Linked DNA regions of Drosophila melanogaster. The protein of the gene in region 1 interacts with the protein of each later gene in a pairwise test. Each region holds a gene or a part of one and is shown in the gene's direction. Other genes may lie near its edges.

Region 1 (7,257 bases):
ACCCACTTTTCGGCCCCACCTCCTCGGACTGGGCTTATCGGGTCGGAATCGACGGGCTTTGCGGCGATGCATGACTAGCTCGCTAAATCTGGATCTGTCTGCGCTCGCGATTTCTGATTGATACATTAGCTGGACTCGTCATCGTCATCGTCGCCAGGAGCGGCCGATAGCCAGCTCCAGATAGCCGTGGTGCAGGCTATCTTCTGGTGCAAAGTCTGCTTGCGTAGAAGTTCCACAACGATTGGCCAAGATAAAAAATTGCATAGACCGAGTGCTTCAGCAAATGTGTTCGTGGGTACTTGGATGTGACCCGACTGGATGTAGTGGGGCTCTGGAGCTGACAATCTCGCCAAAAGAGAGATTTTCCAAGTCGATGGATGTGAAAACTAGCTGGAGTGCTGAAACCTAGCCGTTAGAATTCGATTCAAGTGCTTCAAGTGCCAGACTCCCATTGCCAACACTAGAAAATGTCCTTAAGGGACGCGAAGAGCACTTGCCAACACTCGGAAATCGCGCCTGCGCCGGAAAACAACAAGCGCCTAATCAATAAAAACATAAAATTTAGTGCGCAAGGAGCATCAGCATCAGCAGCAGGAACAGGAACAGGACAAAAACAATATTCCCCAAGGACTCCAACAGAACGCACAGCACCTTCCGTTGAGGCCGAGAAAGCCACATTCGATTGGCAGGAGCTTCGAGGACAGAGGATACGCAGCTACCAGGTCTGCAGCCCGCAAGAGTGAACATTGAGGATTTGCTGTCGCAAAGGTAACAACTGGGAAAAGTGTTGGAGGAGGGGGGGGGGGGGGGTCGCGGAAGTGGAGGCAGTTGTGACTCGAATAACCAAACTCTTTTGGACCAGGGCCCATCTGAGGCTCTGAGCAGCCAGGTGAACCAGTCAGGTCCAGGGAAGAAAGCTCCAGAGGATCGAGGCAGCCGCGGAAGCATCCCAAGCGCATACGAAGAACAGGACAAGATGTACAAGACCATCAGGCACGGGGAGAACAGCTTGCAGTACACGATTCTGCCCCAGAACGACGACTTCCGCATCGAGGGCAAGCTCTCGGGCTCGGGACGATCGGGCTCCGCCGGCGGGGGAGCCTCCTCCACCGCCTCCGTCAAGGCCAAGGGCCAGCGACGCCGGCGATCCTTCTTCGCCTACTTGGGCTTGATCTTCGTGTGCACCGTGATCATTGGCGCCGTGCTCATACCCTTCCTTGTGTCCGCCGAATGTCTGCCGAACCCCGCAGAATGGTTCTTGAAGACCAAGGCGGCCCTGATCCACAGTCCGCAGCCAGGCGGTGGAGATTCGGCTGGCACTTCCTCCATACTGCCCACAGGATCGCCCTTTCTGCAGCAGAACGTGGGCCGGAATGTGAAAATTGTGAACCGGAATGGCATTGAGCAGTTCGTAATTCGGGTGAACAAAACCAATCCGAGTGCTAGCACCACCAGGAGCACCACCACTGGCCCCAACATCGTGGCCACCAGTTCCAGCAGCAGCAGCAGCACCTCCACCACAACGACGACGACAACCGCTCCAGCCCCCACAAGCACAAGCACCACCACTACGACAACCAGGGAGCCGCCGGTGACCACTCCGAGGTACCCGGCCCCGCCGCCGCCTCCGCCGGCGACCACGATCACCACCCGCATCATCCAGGTGCCCCTACTCAAGTCCGCCGCCAAGAAGCCCATAATGCCGCCAGTGCTGGCCAAAGTCCAGGGGCCGCAGATCCAGGCCGGAGGAGGCCAAAACTCCAGGCTGCAGGTACAGGCGGGCACGGAGCACGAGTCGCAATCGAAATTGGAATCGGAATCGCAATCGGAGGGCGGAGGGCAAAAGAGCAACGGTGCCTGGATAAAGACGCACTGGGCCTACATCGATCCATCGACGTACTTCCAATGGAGCGTAAGTCGCACGCCACAACTTAGCTGCCCTGTTGGCCGCCACTAACTCCCATTACTCCCATTGCAGGGCTACAAGGACGAGGATAGCGTGCTGCTGCCCGCTCTGCTGGGCTTCGCCCTCATCGGAGTGATTTTGATCATCACGGTCTGCCTGGTGGCACGCAACAAGCGCACCATTGTGTCCTCCGTCCGCAAGCGGAATCGCAATGTGAGTATACTGTGCATTTGGCTTGACCAACGAACCGGAAGTGGGAGGTTGGGTGTTCGCTTGGTGAGCGGCGCGTGAGCGGGTGCGTGGGTGGTAGCGCGTCCTTGAGCCCGTTCTCCTGCCGTTGTAGTTGTTTTTGTTGTTGTTGTTCGGCATCGCGATTGAATCACGAATCCTAGCATTAAGTCTGCATGGCTAGGTGTTCCAAGGTGTTCCACCTGCACTGCATCGAGCTCCAAACATAATCGACTAATTCGAGCTGCGCGCTGTTCGTGTAGCACAGTGAAAGAGGTGGTGCGGTCTTTTGTTTACCTTTAAGCTGTTAAGTGAAGTGTGAAAATAGTGCAAATCTTGAATAATTGTGTATAAAGAACCAAAACTTTGAATAAAAATATATTTGGCGCCAAATCGAACTGCAGCCCTGGTCGTGAGCGATGGCAGTGCGGAAAATCATCGCACGAAGATCGCCATGGCAACAAGGACCAAAAAATACCAAAACCACCACAGCAGAGACGGCGTCGGCGCGGGTGCGAGCAAGACGGCAGTCGCGCAGAGAGAGTGCGTGGCACTTTAGCCAGGGCTGGGCAAACCACAAATTGGAACCAGCGAAAAATACCTTCGAAATTTGCAAGCTGAGTGTGACAAGAATAAATAGTTCGGCCAACAAATCGGCTTCACAGTGAAAAGTGCAAGCAAACAAAAAGTGAGAAGTGCGCGATGTGCCATCCCTGGTGTAAACACGCACACACACACACACACACGCGCAGGCGGCACACAGGTGAGCACCAGTAGCGCAGTCGACAGCAGCAGCGGCGCAGGCAGCGGCAGAGGCAGAGCGCCCAGAGCAGATACTTCAGTTTGCGTCGATTGTGCCGATTGAGATTCAGATTCAGTTCCAGATCACAACCCGAATCGGAGCCGCCAGTGTGTGCCAGACGCAACGCAACGGAACGGAACGCAAGGCAACGTCTACGTCAGCAAAATCACGCTGCAAGTCACCAGTTGGCCGGAAGATTGGCGAAAATCCTGTGAGTAAAAATGGCAAGCGTGCAACAACAGTTTTGCCAGCGTGTCGCTTGGAGTCTCCCAGTGTGCGTGCGTGTGTGTGAGTGAGTGGGAGCGCGCAGCCGTGTGCGTGCGTGTGTGTGCGAGCGTCGGTGAGCAGTGCCAACAAGGCAAAATGTGTGTTTGCTGTTGGGGAGCATCTTGACCAAAGTAGTCACTCCTCGGAGCGCCAGGAGGCGCTCAAAGGGTATTCGCCCGAGCACGACACCATTCGGCAGCTGTGTGCACAGGTTCCCATTCATGGAAAGTGGGCAGAGGCGCGGAATATGCCAGGCGAGCGCGCAGGTATCAGTTGTGCCGGACCGCACTTGTGGGCACTTGTGGCTGGCAGATTGGAGCCGGGATGCGGAGTAGCACCATTGGAGCGCACTGCTACTCAGTTGGTGTTCGTTGCTAAAAGCCACTCCGGGCAGCATCGACGGCATCATTCAACCGATGCAACAGACGGCCAAGCTGAAAGGGCGACGTGTCACATATGCGAGGCTACTACAGATGCTCCCCCGCAACAACAAGGGCAGGAAGTCACGCAGGGAAAGGCGAACAGCCAGCAGATCTTGAATAACCAACTCATAAACCATTTCAGAAACCCCTGAACCAGAGCAATGGCCATTAAACCGGGACTCGGTCGCAAGACCAGCAACAAGAACCCGCCTATCCTGAGCCACGAGTTTGTGATCCAGAACCACGCGGACATCATCTCCTGCGTAGCCATGGTCTTCGTGGTCGGCCTGATGAACGAGTCGACGGCGGCGTTCGCCAGCGCGTTCATATCCCTGCACCACAACGTCAGCGGTGAGGACCCCAGCCGGGAGCAGCCATATGGCAAGCCATACACCTACATCGCCGGCATCAAGGATTACTGCGCGATATTCTTCTACACGCTGACCTGCATAATCATGCACGCGATCATCCAGGAGTTCGTGCTGGACAAGATCAGCAAAAAACTACACCTGTCCAAGTTCAAGCTGGCCCGCTTCAACGAGTCCGGCCAACTGGTGGCCTTCTACCTGCTCTCCTTCGTCTGGGGCGCCCACGTGCTGCTGAAGGAGGGCTACCTCGGACAGGTGGCCCAGCTGTGGGAGGGCTTCCCCGACCATCCCATGAGCTTTCTGCACAAGTTCTACTTTGTGGTGCAGCTGGCCTACTACCTACACATGCTGCCGGAGCTCTACTTCCAGAAGATCAAGACCAAGGAGGAGCAGCAGCCCAAGATCGTGCACTCGATCAGCGGCTTCACCCTGATCGTCCTGGCCTACACGCTTAGCTTCCAGCGCCTGGCCCTCGTGCTGCTCACGCTGCACTACTTCAGCGAGCTGCTGTCGCACGTCTTCCAGCTGATCGGCGTGTTCGACCGCGAGGAGCGACTGGCCAAGCTGCGGGTGGTGAACAATGCCGTCTTTTTCCTGATCCGCTTCGCTACGTCCGTGATCGGTGTGCTCACGCTGTACTACGGCATCGGGGGTGTGCGATCCCTGCTGGCCTTGGGCGGCCTGATCGCCCTGCAGGGCTACCTGGTCTTCTCCTTCATCACGGAGCAGCTGCGCGCCAAGCGCGAGGCCAAGAAGGAGGCCAAGCGGGAGGCCAAGCTGGCGCTGCAGACCAAAAAGCCAGCCAAGACGCCCAAGGACAAGGTGAAGCGCAAGAAGGAGAGCGACCTGCCTGAGGCGGACCAGACCTCGCCCAGTCCCATCAAGCAGAAGCTCAAGTGAGAGCCGTCCCGGCCGAGCAGAGCAACAAAATCTTCCGCACACTTCCAATTCAAAACGAATGAGAGATAGAGAGAGCAGCACCATGGACAGGAGCCCAGGTTGGATTGGTGGACACTTGCCACTGACCACTGAACACTGGCTACTTGGCTCCCTGTTTGATGTAATCTCGTTAGCTCAAAACTACCACTGCAACATTTCTGCTGCATTTACTTCCTCGACACACAAAAGAACGAACTATTTCTTAGCCTAAATGTTTTGTTTCATTTAAGTTTACGTCATTTTTAAAACAAATTTTTTTTATTTTTATACATACAAAAAAAAAAAATGAAAAAAGAAACAAATACAACAAAAGAGAAAAGCAAAGCCCACACTGCGTGTTTTCAATTGCTCCTCCTCCTTCTCCTGCAACTTCCCATTGTCCTGGTGATTACCCCAAGGTGATCCATATGGTGATCCGAAGCCTGAATAACTTTTCTCTCTTGCAGGACATCGAGGAACAGGGCGCCGAGGACAACGCCACCCTGCTGACCACCACCAACCTGTCGGACGACGACTAATTGGAGCTCGTTCAGATGATTCCCTGTTCGCCCTCGGTTCCAGCTTTTGATTTCCGGCCTGCTTGAGCGATCCAAAGTCGCTGGCTGGGCCATCGCCCACTTCGCCCATCCGTTTGAGACACACACGATTACCCAGACACCTGGACCTGCTGAGATGGCTCCACGCCAGCTGATCCAGTATGCTAATCCCGATCCCGATCCCCAAATTTCCCCTCCGCTTCTGGCCATGAGGCAGGCGGAAGGCGGAGCAAAGAGTAATCCAAGCACGAAGAAGACTGTTTCTGAAACTACTGTTTAGCTATCCCCAAATTTTTCCAATGCTTGTCTTCACCCCGCACTGTCCCCCCCCTCTTACCAATCACCCATCCTTACAAAACTGTGTGCGTGTGTGTGCTGATAGTGTGTGTGTATGTGTGTGTGTGTGATCCCCAAGATACCCGTTACTTATAAATATGCATAAATGCAAGAGCTAGCTTGATAACTTGACGTGCGAGGGATGTGGTGGTGTCCACGCTGGCCACTGAGCCCCTCCGTGCACCACCAATAGCTGGGCTCTCGGCACGAAGATGTGACAATGTTCGATCTCATCCGAAGTACTTTCCAAACTAACCGAGCTTTTTAAACACAATCCACCTTTTGTGTCTGCTGTTCCTGCTGCTCTGAAACCAATTGGTGGACGCATCGCGGAAAAGGGAGCACCGAGGCACAAAAGCACCGAGGCACAGCCCTCGGAAAACGCACTCAAATCAAATGAAACGTCCAGAGATATGAATATTTTTTTGCAAGCGACTACACCTAATTTGCAGCACAGGCAGGCGGGGATGGGGATGGGGATGCAAGTCCGTCTTGGCCCAAAACGCTTGGCGATTCGATTCGATTCGATTCAGATGGGACAGTTGGGCAGTGAGCAGTAGGGCGGTGAGAAACCGTAGCGGGGGACTACTGTTCGTCTATATAAACTGTGTATAACTGTGAGGCATTGACAAGTATTTGAGATGATCTGTATTTTTGTAAGCGTAATATTTAAAGCGGCAGCCAATAACGAGACAACCAAATCCAGAGAAGCAACTATAAAGCGTAAGATATCGGGCGCAGCAGCCAACACACGCGACACACAATTTATTTGCTCAACGCAGTACACACCACACATGATACATACAGCATAAATGTAAATATATATATATTTATCTGCATACATATATATATATACAGAGTAAGTTACGCAAAGTATGAGGCTTGCATTTACATTTACGAGCGGGATATATCCTCCATATGTATATGTTATCACTAATTTGCAAAGCTAAACTAAGTCCATATATACAAACCAAATATCGGAGGTGCAAGTGACGAACACACACTATATTGAATGTTTTTGCTTGTTAAAGTAAATAATAAAAATGAAAACTCGAAATCACGAAATCCATAGCCATCGAGGATCACAATCCGCCCATTTACGGCTGAGCCTGTTCCTGTTCCTGCTGCAGTTTGTCCCGCTTGCTCTGCTGGGCAGTCAGGTGGTTCTGCACGAAGCTGTGGAAGTTTTGTTCTTCGGCGGTGCCCTTCGCGTCCTCCTCCATCTCCTCCTCGTCTTCGATTTCCGCCGACTCGGGCACCAGACTAGGTGCCATTAGGAAAATGCTGTTTCCAGTGTGCGGCGGTGGGTCCTGAAATAGTTAAGACCCTGCAGTGGGTGCACAAATAGCCGAGGAACTGTTCCTACCTGAAGCGACAATCCCAGGGGAACGGCATGGCCGTCCTCTTCCACATGATCCACTGGCTTTGGACCCGTCGCACTCTCCGCCAGTCG
Region 2 (7,503 bases), about 20 Mb from region 1:
CCAGGAATTGGTCAATTCCGGTCAATTGGCGGCCATAGCTAAGAAGAGCAAAGCTCGCTTGCCGCCGGCAGGTAACATGGGTGGAAACTTTGTGGACATCCCCTTGGATGCGGGACCCAATACACCGCCCGTTTCGCCACCGGAACGTCAGGGTAGCAGTCCGGATTCCATGCAAAAACATATAAGAAGCGTTTCCGAGTCAAGCAGCAGTGGTTTCTTTGATCTCGAGGAGAAAATCAAAGAGCTGCCAGCCCTCAGCTTGGACGCTTACCTGCAGCGCAAACGTAGCACCAAAAAGAAGAAGAAGTTTAGCGGCACCAAGAAACAGAGGAATTCGAACAGCACAAGTGGTGCATCAGCAACTTCGAATGTGGCAGCAGCAGATGCTGCGGCGAAAGGTGCTGTCCCATTATCTAGCGAGCAACACGTGAGGATCAAGCAGCAGCAACTGCAGGCTGTGGGAAGCCAGCGACGAAAGGCGCGCAAGGAAAGTATCACCCGGCGCGATGTTAGTGCCATTGAACAGGAGGTGGCCTCAATTCTGCCCCTGACCATCAATGGCAGCTACTACTTTAACCAGAGCGGTGCTCCCAAGGCGGTGAATGCCCCTGTAACCTCGTCGTCGGCCTCGCCACCGCTCTCTTCGAACTCCTCGTCGTCATCCTCCTCGCTCTCCTCGCAGGCGGCCTTCGACGTGACCTCCTCTACCTCAGATCTACTCATTCTGGCCGAAGTGGCCGCCAACCGCACTGAGCTGACCAAGTCCAACTAGCGCCTGCAACACCAATAACATCAGCAGCACCACTGGCTGTCCAGCATTACCACCAAATAGTTAGCCCAAATCAAAATAGCGAACTGCAAGATTGTCATACTTGGGGAAGACATATTCACATATGTATATCCTGTTGCAATAATTTGAAATTATGTTTAGATATTTAAACTATTCCCTGTTTACCTTATTATATAGTTTTTAGGAAAGCAAAAGAGCATGTCCTTAGCAGTTATTCATATCATCATTCATTACGTCAGAGCTGAGGAATAATACTTTATATTTTATTTACATACATATATAGATAGGTTTTACATGTTTTTCGGGCTATGTTGCACACATATCCAAAATATTCAGTTCATATCCGCACAACTGTGCATTAATATTCAATTGTTTTAACATTGTCGCATCAATCGAAAACCTTAAACTGAATTTGTCGCCCTTATGATAGTCTTGCGGTCAAGTTAAGCACCCATTTTCGATACTTACGATGCTTAAAGCTATTTGCTGGTGGTGCCCAATGGAGATGGAAAAACAGACATTCGTTGATCTACAATTTAGTCAATAATATTATGTAATAACAGAAAATCAAGCCAGCCGAAGAGAATGCGAGAAGAGAGTCGCGGCGATAGCGAATTATGTATTGTTTGTTATGACGGCGGTAGGAGGAGACCCGAGTCAGTTTCACACGCATATATCTATGTATATATTTGGTATTTAAATAACTTGTTCTGTTTTTTTCTTGTTAAGTTTCTCCTTTTTCGGGCCGCGTTCGCTAAGCAGCAAAATCAACAGCAGCGGTCGCTCATTAAATGTTAATTATTATTATTTCTAATATGTAGTCGTAACTTATTGCTATATTTGTCGAAACGCAAACAATTTGCAAACAAAAATATATTCATTTTAAAATGGAAACTTGGAATTTTCATTTTGAAGAGCCAATTTTGCAATATTTATCTATGAAACGCCAGTAAGTAATCAGTATACGGGAACAATTTGGTATCTATGTACGCATACATTGTGTATATTAAAAAATATGGAGTGCATATAGTTCTTGTAGTTTTTTTTTACGTTAACATGATTTCTTTGATGCCATAAATGTTTCTTAACTTTCTTACCTTTTTTCTATAAACAATTTTAAAGTAAAGTAAATTGAGACGTAAAAGGTTTTTTTTTGTTAGTGTCACAAGCCGAATCGCTTTGTTTTTAATTTTAATCAGTTTAAAAGATTTTATACGAAGTAATATGTTTGAAATTTGTAACCGAAAAAATCGCTTAAAACAAACCCAAAGGACATTTTTAGAGATCGCTGGTGTGTAGATTTGTGAGACGGCGATAACTATCGATATTTATATTATATTTATATTGCGAGCTGAAAGTAACAAATAGTTCGGATACTCAATTTTGTAACTAACAATAATTCAAACTTTTCTAAAATCCCTTCTTTCGGCACACAGCAAAAGGAAATATTTGGCTTGGGAGGGTCCGATTAGAAAGATTTAGAAAACTTATATTCATTTGGTGGCCTTATATTTGCGTAAATAGTGCAATTAAAATAAATCTGTTTGATACTTTCTTGAGTCCACGATAAGCGTTCTTTACACAGAGAAACATTTTGAATAATTTTCGTACCTGAAACTAAATTTCAAATTTTGCGAGCGTATATTTCGTATCGATATATTTCTCCAGTGATCTGGGTGTAAAGCAAGCCTGTTTGCGAGGCCAGTGTTGCAAGACGCCGGTTGTCAAGAAAGAGACAGGGAGAGAGATGAATAGAAGGAATGGTTCGTTTTTGTTGGACGCTGGTGTGGGAGTCCATTGATAAGATAAGAGCACCGAAGATTCCCGGCCAACCGCCAGGGGCCTAGATAAGCGTGCCGATTTTTATTGGGTAATAAGAGTTGACAAGATGGCGATTAATTTTCGATCGGGTTTCTTTTTTTCGCTCACGTGCAGCCCAAACAGCTGCTGGGGGTGGCCCATCCCCTTTCTGCCCCTCACCGACTGGTCCAACAATTTCTCTCAAGCTTTTTTGGACGAGCTTTCGCCGTGTTGGCCTTAATTTCGCTTCATGTGTTTCAGTTTATTCGCGAATTCAGACCCTTGCGCGTGCTCACGCTCTCTGTTGCAGCAGCAAAAACCAAAAACCCTCGAAAAGAACAACATTGACTCGAAAAAACCGAAAAATAATTATAATTGTACTTGTACTTGTGTGTCTTTTGTGAGGTGAGCAAATGCGCTGACAGAAACGGGAACTTTTCTACTTTTCTCGCAGGCTGCTGTGAGAAGTTTGTCAAACAAACACGAGTTTTTCCGAAAAACTATATTTGGCAATTCTACAAATTCTACAAAATTGTATTGTTTACCCTTATTATTGTTTTTGGGTCGTTGCTGGTTATGTATCGTAGTTTGTTTTTTTTGAAGTGACAAAACAACCGTTAAAGCAAAATTTATATCGAGCAAATAGAGGAAACCCACAAACCCAAGCGAAATTTTGCAGTGTACATGTGAGTGGCTGCGTTGTATTCGTATCATAAAAGGATCTCTACAAAGCGAGGTAGAGAGCAGTAAGCAGTGTTATATAATAGGTACAATTCGCCGCATAGCAACAAATAAGAAAAATGAAGAAAAAAAAACAAAAAAAAAAAAACCATTCAGATGAATTCGCAATTTAAGTACGGCAGCTCCCTGTTTCCCTTTAACCAAGGCGGCCAGAGCGAGACAGAACTTGATATAGCCCATAATGAAGTGTAATGAAATCTGTGCAATGAAACCCGCCAAGTTTTTTCGATTGATTGCAGCCTCCCGTCTGGCGATTATTTAGCGGGCTGCTAATTAATAAATAAAATGAAAAAGGGAAAAGGGGTTAATGGGTGGAAAACTGAGAACGAAAATTGGGGAGAATCAAGGAGAGCCGCAATTAACACCAATTAGTGTGTGCTTTCGGCGCATTTCAATTAAATCAAAACAAATTCCAAATCAAAATCAAAATCAGAAGCAAACGGGGCTGGCATGCCTGTGACGTCACACAGTCGTAGTTACAATTACGGTACAATCTCGGTTACATTTACAGTTACATAAACGGGAGCGAAGCGGCGAAAAGGATTTTCTCGCCCTCGGGTCCTTCCTCGTTTCGCTTCGTTGAATTTGCCGTCGCTTAACAACTCGCCCCATTTTCACGCGTCTTCGTCGCATTTGGTTTCGTGCTTTTGCGGCGTATACAACGCTCAAAGCGTAATAGAATAAATAATAAGAACGAAGTAAGAAGAAAACCCAAAAGACACATAATAGCGAAAGATAGATTTCTGCCCAGAAATTGACTTTTTTAATTGAACATTTCGAAGGTGTACTTGCGTACGTGTGATTGTGTTGTGCTGTTTTTTTCGGCTTCGCTCTCCCTCGCCGCCTCACGTTTTTCGCATTTGTTGTATAACATTCGGAGCGAGCGAAAGAGGGAGAGCGAAAAGCTCTCCGACAAAATCAGCTGTGATCATTGGCGTTGGCGTGGGGTTTGTGGGGGGGCAAAAAACACAATTAGGCAAAAAGTTGCAATAATAATATGTACACTGATTTTAATATTTTTATAAATTGAATTTTATTATACATTTGTTTATTATTTTTATATTAATTAGATATCATCCAATTACAATTAAATCAATTCTATATGATCTTATTGAAAATCAATGCATATTTTGAAACAGTCGTAATAATTTTGTTATATATGTACCACATTTCCACTTTTTAAAACGTTATTGTAATCGAGTTGAAAACGAGATAACCACCTTTAGTAATCTCTTCGTTACGCCACTGTCTTCCCTCAGATTCGTAGTGATTTGTAGAGATAATAGTGAAATTACCTCTGCTTTCCATTGTTTTCTTTTTGCAGCAACAACCGAGATTGGAGTGCGTTTCAATAACCGTCTCAAAAGCCGAAGAGCAGAAAGCGTAAATAAACCGCAGAATCCCTTGTAATGGCTCTACTCCGTTCGCTGAGCGCCCAACGAACAGCCATCAGTTTGGTCTACGGCCGTAATAGCAGCAAGTCGAGCAATTCCGTGGCCGTCGCCGCCTGCCGGAGTTTCCATCAGCGCGGCAGCGGGAGCACCAGCATCGCCGGAGAAGGAGCAGCATCGGAGTCCACGAGAGGAGTCAATGGAGCGCGCTTCCTGCACAGCGGCGACCGGCCGCTGCAGGCCTCCACTCTGGTCCAACCGGAGGTGGTCTCCAGCGAGACGGTGAAGCGATCGATGAAGCAGGAGTCGTCCCAGGAAAAGAACCCCTCGCCCGCTGGCTCGCCGCAGAGGGATCCCCTGGACGTGAGCTTTAATGATCCGATTGCTGCTTTCAAGAGCAAGACCACTGGAGAGCTAATACGCGCCTATCTCGTCTACATGATATGTTCCAGCGAGAAGCTGGTCGAGCACAACATGACGGTGAGTTAATCGGTGTCCCCCACTCCTCCTCTGCCGAGTCCTGCGACCTTTGACCCTTGAATTGGTCCAATCCATCGACTAGCTGAGATCTCTCTCTCTCTCTCTAGCTCTCTGTTTCTGGTTCTGTTTGCTGAGAAATCTGGGGCTCTGTTAGTACATAACCCCTGCTTAATGCTTTCTTAATATTACAATTAAGTAAGTATCGTTTTAGATAGTGACCGATTTCGAAACCATTTGTTTCAACTCTCGAAGTGTGTGCTGACTCTTCGCCTCTTCTGTCCTCTTCTGCTGCTTTCAACTTATTATAATTCATTCATTTATTTTATAAATACTTCCTTTAAAATGCTTTATTTAAATATATTCATGTACATGGATTCTTGGACACTTGAAGAGTAAACAAAAGTTATGAACAGCTAGGGCTATTGAATTCCATGTATGTATAATGTTAAAGTTGTCTGAAACTGAACGTAGAAGAATATTTAATTTTTTTGTTTGCTTCCTTTTTTCTATTCATGAATTTTTTTGTCTTATTCATGAATTTTTTCGATCCTGCCAAGCTTCCATTCGCTTGATTCCGATTTTCCGGGCAACCGAAGCCCGTGTCAGGTGGCTGGCTGCTTTCCTTCCGATTTTCCGCCCTGCTTCCGCTTTTCAATTCACCCGACCCGCAGCGAGTTTTCGTTTGCTCCCCTCGTGTTGATGAATTCCTGGCTAATTGCTTGTTGCATTTGTTGCCACTTTCTGGCAGGTGCTGCAGTCGCACAGAAGATTGAATGAGTGCCTGATTGACGGCAGGAAAAAGGGAAACTTTGGCATGCAAATTGCCGCTGCGATGGCGACCTTGCCCGGTCCGCTATTTGCTCTTAACTCGTGCGTATTTACTCAGCGAGACGTATGGATTGTGTGAACTGTGTAGGACTGCATAGTATATATAGGTCGTTATATAGTCAGGCCCCCGAATGAGCGCCAATCGGAATCGTTGGAAAACCCCTCGCATTTACCCCATTCTCGCTAGCGTGCTTCTATTTAATAGCGTCGGCGATCGTTTGATTGCTTATCGATTACTCAAAGTGCATGCGTCGCCAAGACTGTTACTTATTTATCATTTTTTCGCCCCGCTCGATGCAATTTGCATATATGGGTGGCTAAATGGACGTCACAGAGAATGTCCGCACAGCTCCCTGGGACCGTAGACATCACATCACATGTGGCATTAGTCAGACATCGACTTTGCCCACATCTCTGCACTAGAAAAAAATTGGTAAGCCATTCCTTTACCAGACTCGGCGCAATCTATTTGAAAACATCGTTTGCACAATCGATTTTGAGCGTTCTAGCATTCAATTAGTTATACTTTTGGTACTAAATATAGTGAGAACATTCTCAAGAACTGTTGCACACAGTTCAATAACACAATTGGGGTCTCATATTCGTTTGAATTTGTATCAGAGTGTACTTATTTTTTCGCCATTTCTATTTACAGTAGCGCGTCGATTGCTTTTGGGGACTGAGGAGCGGTGTGGGTCTCGTGATATGTGAGAATGGGTTGGGTATTGATGGGTAAAAAACATGGTTGAGGATGGGGTACTGTGGCAGGTGCCAGGTGCTAGGTGACCGGGGGTGGTGTTGGCTCTGCTGGGGCAGCTTTTTTTGTTTTTTTTGTTTTTTGGGGCCAGAGCTCAACGGCAAACACCTGTCCTCGGTTTCGAATTGTCTGCCAAAGAAAAGTTAAAAGACTAGCAAAGCAAAACATGCCATACCCAAAAAAAATATAATGCGAAACGAAAATTTGTTTTATGTAACCAGTTTTGGTGATGGTGTATTTATATTGTCGGCAGTGTGCTCTTTCGACAACTTTGTATTCAATTAATTACTTTAGTGTTCTCGACGAAACCGGTTTCCCCAGACGGAGAATGCTCTTTTCTTTCCCCACCTGTCCTTTCTCAGAATCTCATTCATCTGATGGATCCCGCATCAAGCAAAGCGCACACGTGCAAGGGAATCATTAATCAGAGGCCAATGCTCTTGTGTTTTCCACCTTGTAAGGAACATGGGTTGCCCGGAAACCGGAAACTTGGTGATTCCCAAGTTAGGCGATCTCTTCCTGTCCTTATTGCCGAGTTTTATTAAGTGCAGTTTAACATTTTCTCGTTTTCACAAAGCTGGATAGTGCATTGCGAGTTTATTTAAATAAATTAATATTTCCGAAGGGATAGTATTGTCTCTAGTCGCATAAATCTTGCATTAATAGGTTTGGATAAGAGTCTGTACAATCTCTTGCGTTATTTTTCGGCTTTTCAG
Region 3 (6,037 bases), on another chromosome or scaffold:
TGGTCCTGCTGCTCCTAAACCGCATCCGTAACTCAAAGTCCTACCTGGAGAAGCTGACCCACTCGGAGGTGCACACCCTGGTCGCCAAGTACTCCTTCAAGGGCCACCTCGGCGACCAGGACTTCTTCACCCTGCTGGGATACGAGTACCCGAACTTAATCTACAGACTGGACTGCATTTGGAACCGCCAGCTGTGCACCTGGTGGAAGGATCACGGATACTCACAGATATTCGACGCTTATTTCCGGTGCGAGGGCAATATTAAAATGTACCATGGCAACTGTAATACGCGAATTCCAGAATAAATAAAATTGTTATAGGAATATTAAATTAATTAAATGCAGGGTATTTTTATTTGGTATAACTATTGTAATGGAACGTTATGTAATATACGGTGAATTTAATCTTAGTTTATAGACCATTATAAATGGTGATATATAAAAATGAAATTTAAAGATAAAAGACAGCCCACACCTATCACCATTTAAAATATCAAAACGATGTAAGAATGTTATCGATAGGCGAGAAGCAACAGAGTGGGAATATGCCGCACAGGGTGTTTCGTGTGAATGATTTCGCCTCTTGTTTCTTATCTTTAACCTTCATTTCTGGCTCCGTTTGGCTATGAATTAGGAGCAGTCCCGAATAATCAGTCGAGCATACGTAGTTAACGATGGCGCCGAATGCAGCAGTACCAGTGGAGCGATATGAGCCTGAGAACATCGGGATCAACGCCATTCTCCTGGGGCCGCCGGGTTCCGGCAAAGGAACGCAGGTGGGTCAAAATTACATAATGATGTGTTTTTTGTGACACGGACGCCATGTAGTCTATAAATAAATACAACGTGTTCAAGTGCGCGGTTTTTGTTTGCAAATAATCGGTGAAGCTCGTTAATTCTCTTGGAAGAGAATTAAAACTGGTGAAGTTATATAAGACGATGTGTACATGGAAATGTATATGTATGTATCTACGTGCCAAGTATGTACATATGCGTCAAGCAGTGTCTTTCTCTTGACCCTGAATCAAATCAAAGCCTTGGCGAGATGTGGCGAATTAAGTGGAACACCTTTAGGCAATCGATTGGGTATTATGCAGACCATCTATTAAAAGGCTACCAGAACATTCCTGGCCTCAAGAAATGCATCTTATCTAGCCGATTGGTTACCTTGCTTACCTTCCGATATGGTGCTAAATTGATTAATTGATTAGCTCTAACTGAAACTTATCAATGTTTTTAATTATGCCCATTTCAGGCTCCCCTGCTGAAGGAGAAGTTCTGCGTGTGCCACCTGTCGACCGGCGACATGCTGCGGGCGGAGATTTCATCCGGTTCGAAGCTGGGAGCCGAGTTGAAGAAGGTCATGGATGCCGGCAAACTGGTCTCCGACGACCTGGTCGTGGACATGATCGACTCCAACCTGGACAAGCCCGAGTGCAAGAATGGATTCCTCCTGGACGGATTCCCCAGGACTGTCGTTCAAGCTGAGAAGGTAGCCACACGTGTGAAGCACTTTGGACTTTAGGTTATAATCCGTTCGAAACGCACTTTGCAGCTCGACACATTGCTGGACAAGAGGAAAACCAACTTGGATGCTGTCATCGAGTTTGCCATCGACGACAGTCTGTTGGTGAGGCGCATCACTGGCCGCTTGATCCACCAGGCCAGCGGGCGTTCGTATCACGAAGAGTTTGCCCCTCCAAAGAAGCCAATGACGGACGATGTAAGTATCTCTATAGGACGCTATCCAAGAACTCTAAATGAAAGCAGACCTTGTGTACTTGCAGGTCACTGGAGAGCCCCTAATCCGTCGCAGCGATGACAACGCCGAGGCTCTGAAGAAGCGACTGGAAGCATATCACAAGCAGACAAAGCCGCTGGTCGACTACTACGGCCTGAGGGGTCTGCACTTCAAGGTGGACGCCGCCAAGAAGTCCAGCGACGTCTTCTCCACCATCGACTCTATATTCCAACGCAAGCGTCCTGCCCAGATCCAGTTATGATTTGTTCCTGCGCAATGATCAACTACTGATAACTGCCTCCTGACAATTTATTTCGAGACACACACAACGTTTAAGCCTAAAGTTATAGTTGCATCCGGAAATCCTGAACAAACGAAATTACCTTTGCAGGTCGACTACTTTCCTTGTACAGATTTCTAAAGTGTATGTGTTTGTTACTTTTTACATTTCACTATTTGTAACTACAATACAATTTAATAAAAAAATCGAAGGAAACAAGTACATTTTACGAGACATGACTGCTTTAAACTGGGCTGCGTTCGAATGAGGGATGGACGACGCCAAGTTCAAACTTCCACACAATTGTTTTCCGGAAAGCTTCTGGAATATGATGCGGCTGACTCAGTTTCGAATCGAGGTTTTTAGCGTTTGATGGATAGCTACTAATTGTTCCGAGAACTATTTATTATTGCAATCAACTTTAAAGCGACTATTAAAGGGTCATGTTGCACGGGTCTCAAGTGTAACAAATGAGAAATTGCTAATGGAAATCGCTAATGAGATCGTTAAATCTGGTAAACAAATAACATATCGCCAAGTTAGCCCGTCCATCGTGGCTGCGAATCTCTCGCAGAGCGACTTTCGATCGCCGTTTAGTACTCAGACGTCACCTGCCTAATGTTAATGTCAATTTAAGTGTGTATAACTATCGCACATATATTATATAAATTTATAACGACGATTGACTAATCACTGGGTTGACTTTTCAGCAATAGCGATTTTCGCTTCAAAGTCTAAAGTGTGTGCAATCCCGTATGGATACGAGCCGAGCTCGAACACAGGCTCACAGCGCGCGGTTTGTGTTGTGTATTACACTTGAAGTTCAATCCCAGGTAAAAAGTGGGCCCAGGTATAAAAGCCCACTTCATAGAAACATTTCTCAGTTAGTTCCAGCAGCTGAATTGCTTCACATCTATTCGCTCCGAGTCGCCCCACAAGTCGAGCCCCATTGTAAGACCACCGCACCGTTTATAGTTTTTGGAGCCGATCGGCTCGGCTGGTCGACTGGTGGCTGGTAGTAGTCCACACACTCATGGACGCAGCCAGACGGGCAACCAGTTTCATTGTGTATAAACAGTGACATCTTTTCAGACAGCGAATGTGTTTCAGATACGCATACAAAGTGGCCTGCCTGGCTGTGCATTAATTTGCATACAAATCCCATAAGTCCACAGATACATTTTGCGAATGCAGTCGCGCTCGATGGCTAGTAAAAATATTTTTCCATTGCCCAGTAAAATCCCCTGCGCACAAAACTGGTTGCCCGACCAACAGACCCACTAAGCCACAAAAGTGCTGATTAATCGTACAAACATACTTACCCCAATTCGCCCGCAGAAAACTCCAAGATGAAGATGATACTTGCGCTTGTCGTCCTTGGACTGGTGCTGGTCGCCGCCGAGGATAAGTACACCACCAAGTACGACAACATCGACGTCGACGAGATCCTGAAGTCGGACCGCCTCTTCGGAAACTACTTCAAGTGCCTGGTGGACAACGGAAAGTGCACCCCGGAGGGCCGGGAGCTCAAGAAGTCCCTGCCGGACGCCCTGAAGACGGAGTGCAGCAAGTGCAGCGAGAAGCAGCGCCAGAACACCGACAAGGTCATTCGCTACATCATCGAAAACAAGCCCGAGGAGTGGAAGCAGCTGCAGGCCAAGTACGATCCCGATGAGATCTACATCAAGCGCTACCGCGCCACCGCCGAGGCCTCGGGAATCAAGGTGTAAGGCGGATCCCGGTTCCGGAAACTCTTGGTTATATGCACTGTTAATTAGGTCTACGCTTATATCTGATCATCAAAATTATTTCTACGATCGTGCTCGGAATAAAGAGATTTGTTTTTTTACCATACACCTGCCGAGTATTATATCGTTATCGAAGGGGGATTTGCCAGGCTTCAGAGAGTATATAAATTAACTATGACAAATGTAGCACTTAAGTCTAGCCTCCTGCTACTAGAACGATGATTAATCTAAGCACAATTAAGGTCTTAGAAAAAACATTCACAAGATTACGACTAGACCCTAATAAGCGGCTTATATATGGCGGGCGATTTGCATTAACATTGACAATAAAGGCAGCTACGGTTAGTTGGCAAAAACATCGCGTGCTTGTCTTGGTTCTGAGCTATTACTTATATTATTCTTAAAAGGGGCAATGAATCGAATCCGATGGCCGCAAGTAACTCAGCCGTGAAAACCTTCCTTCAAAGAACAAACAAACAATGTACAGCGAATTATTAATGTCACGGCAATTCACATTGCGAATCAAAAGATATTAAATATTAAATCAGTATTTTAATTACTTATAAATGTACAAAGCTTAGTATAAGGTTGTGGGCAGCGTTTACGTTAATGTTTCACCCTGGGCGACGCACGCCTCCAGATAGTCTATGCGCCGCTCCAGGATCGTTAGTTTTTCGTTCAGCACCGCCAGACGGGAGCGACAGGACATATCTGAAAGGATATGATAGCACACGATGATACAGTTTATAATGCCAACAGTGTACATAAACCCTATTAAGGATATGGGATATTTTAGCAACCCAACTACCTCGCACTCTTTGGCTTATCATTTATCACAGTATTTAGCGTATCTTAAATTATGCATAGAGCAACCGAAAAAGCTTATCCAATTCATTTAGGTGACTAATTCGGATAGAGATAAAGCCGAATTTTCGTTTTGAGCCCTCCGATGATGTTACATACATACATTTCCATATGTATGTAGATACATATATTGCTATACATATATGCCACCACGCACAAACCACTGTTTGTTTCTATAGACTTAAGACTTGAGTAAATAAAGTCATTGTCACTGATGAATATTTGTTAGTAATATTACTTATGCGTTCACCCACACCTACAAAGGAAGTGATAATAAACACGCGCACACACACATGCGTCAGAGGGAAGTGGGTGCTTCGTATGCAGGTTGCTTACCGAAAGAGTTCAGAAAGTCGGTGATTCTCTTTATGCTGGCAGTTATCACTTCGATATACTCCCTGTTCGCCCAGTCCTGGTGGATCTGCTTTTGGATCGCCTCTCTGTGAGCCCCACTCATCTTTATTTATTCCTATTGTTTCTGTTCGTTTTAATTGTGTTTATCTAGAGATGAGAGATGGGTTGGGCCGGAACAATTATTGTCAAAAATTTGGAACTATCGATAGGCATACAATTACCGTGTTCACCGTGATTCATTGAGATCAAATTTTTACTCCAACAAGAAATTTTAATGGTGTTTTACAACACTCCCTAAGCACTACTATTTAAAAATTACGCGGGAAAGTGCGATGAAAGAAATAACTTAATATTTTTGTCTGCCAACTATAGCGTGTAAATATGAATAATAAAATAAAGGTAAATAATAAAAGTATTGGGGTAGACACAGCCGAATATATAAAGAAACTTATCGCCGCAATATACAATTGTATATCGCAATATACATAGATATATTCGAATTTGCGTTTGCTATATTTTATATTAACCGTGGGTTAGTTTTCGATGTTTTATTGTTTTAAATGATATTTATTAAGGAATTACTGCAAACCAGCAAAGTATGTACCCATTTTGCGGTCCGATTCCGCGTGTTCCAATCGGAATGAGCCGAGCGAAACGATAGCTATTGATGCCACTCACGCACACGCACACATAGATAAACTAGGTGGCCCCGTAAACTACAGTGTTTTTCATTTGGTAAACAAAAAATGGACTTTATCGACGACTTCATCGAAGAATACAAAAGCAATCCGTGCTTGTGGAAGGCGGACTCGGCGGACTTCAGGAACCGCAGCCGCCGGCAGGAGGCCTACGCGAAGCTCATCGAGGTGGCCACCAAGCACGGGGAGATGTACAATGTGGAGCGAACAAAGCAAAAGATAAACAATCTGCGCTGTGCATTTCGTCATCAGCTGAGGAAATACAACGAGGTCAAGAAAAAGGGCGAGAAGTACGAGCCCTACTGCCCCAAGCGCCGCTACTTCGAGTCCCTGATGTTCCTTAAGGACGAGGA

The links.
Region 2: the proteins of TRAM (region 1) and slgA interact in a two-hybrid assay, tested with the Drosophila melanogaster proteins (one large-scale study listed by BioGRID).
Region 3: the proteins of TRAM (region 1) and EbpIII interact in a two-hybrid assay, tested with the Drosophila melanogaster proteins (one large-scale study listed by BioGRID).

Annotation. Positions count from the first base shown.
Region 1 is NC_004354.4:932,563-939,819, forward strand, and holds TRAM (TRAM), read left to right. Parts: upstream 1-2,669; 5' UTR 2,670-3,276; intron 3,277-3,295; exon of another isoform or gene 3,296-3,698; intron 3,699-3,767; 5' UTR 3,768-3,786; coding exon 3,787-4,893; 3' UTR 4,894-5,260; downstream 5,261-7,257. Other genes in the region: CG32815 (uncharacterized protein), read left to right, coding at 977-1,912, 1,979-2,119, 5,379-5,450; CG3704 (uncharacterized protein), read right to left, coding at 6,902-7,114, 7,171-7,257.
Region 2 is NC_004354.4:21,371,465-21,378,967, forward strand, and holds the start of slgA (sluggish A), read left to right. Parts: upstream 1-2,847; 5' UTR 2,848-3,276; exon of another isoform or gene 3,277-3,357; intron 3,358-3,957; exon of another isoform or gene 3,958-4,029; intron 4,030-4,645; exon of another isoform or gene 4,646-4,655; 5' UTR 4,656-4,740; coding exon 4,741-5,202; intron 5,203-7,503. Other genes in the region: bbx (bobby sox), read left to right, coding at 1-772. UniProt on the Drosophila melanogaster protein: Converts proline to delta-1-pyrroline-5-carboxylate. Involved in the conversion of proline to glutamate, which functions as a transmitter at neuromuscular junctions. Glutamate deficiency could possibly account for reduced motor activity.
Region 3 is NT_033778.4:24,023,646-24,029,682, forward strand, and holds EbpIII (ejaculatory bulb protein III), read left to right. Parts: upstream 1-2,526; 5' UTR 2,527-2,656; intron 2,657-2,730; 5' UTR 2,731-2,853; intron 2,854-2,900; exon of another isoform or gene 2,901-2,971; intron 2,972-3,037; exon of another isoform or gene 3,038-3,358; 5' UTR 3,359-3,369; coding exon 3,370-3,750; 3' UTR 3,751-3,873; downstream 3,874-6,037. Other genes in the region: Xxylt (xyloside xylosyltransferase), read left to right, coding at 1-305; Ak2 (adenylate kinase 2), read left to right, coding at 674-775, 1,255-1,491, 1,555-1,722, 1,787-2,002; HSPC300 (haematopoietic stem/progenitor cell protein 300), read right to left, coding at 4,370-4,479, 4,969-5,089; CG3163 (uncharacterized protein), read left to right, coding at 5,733-6,037. UniProt on the Drosophila melanogaster protein: Protein component of the posterior mating plug.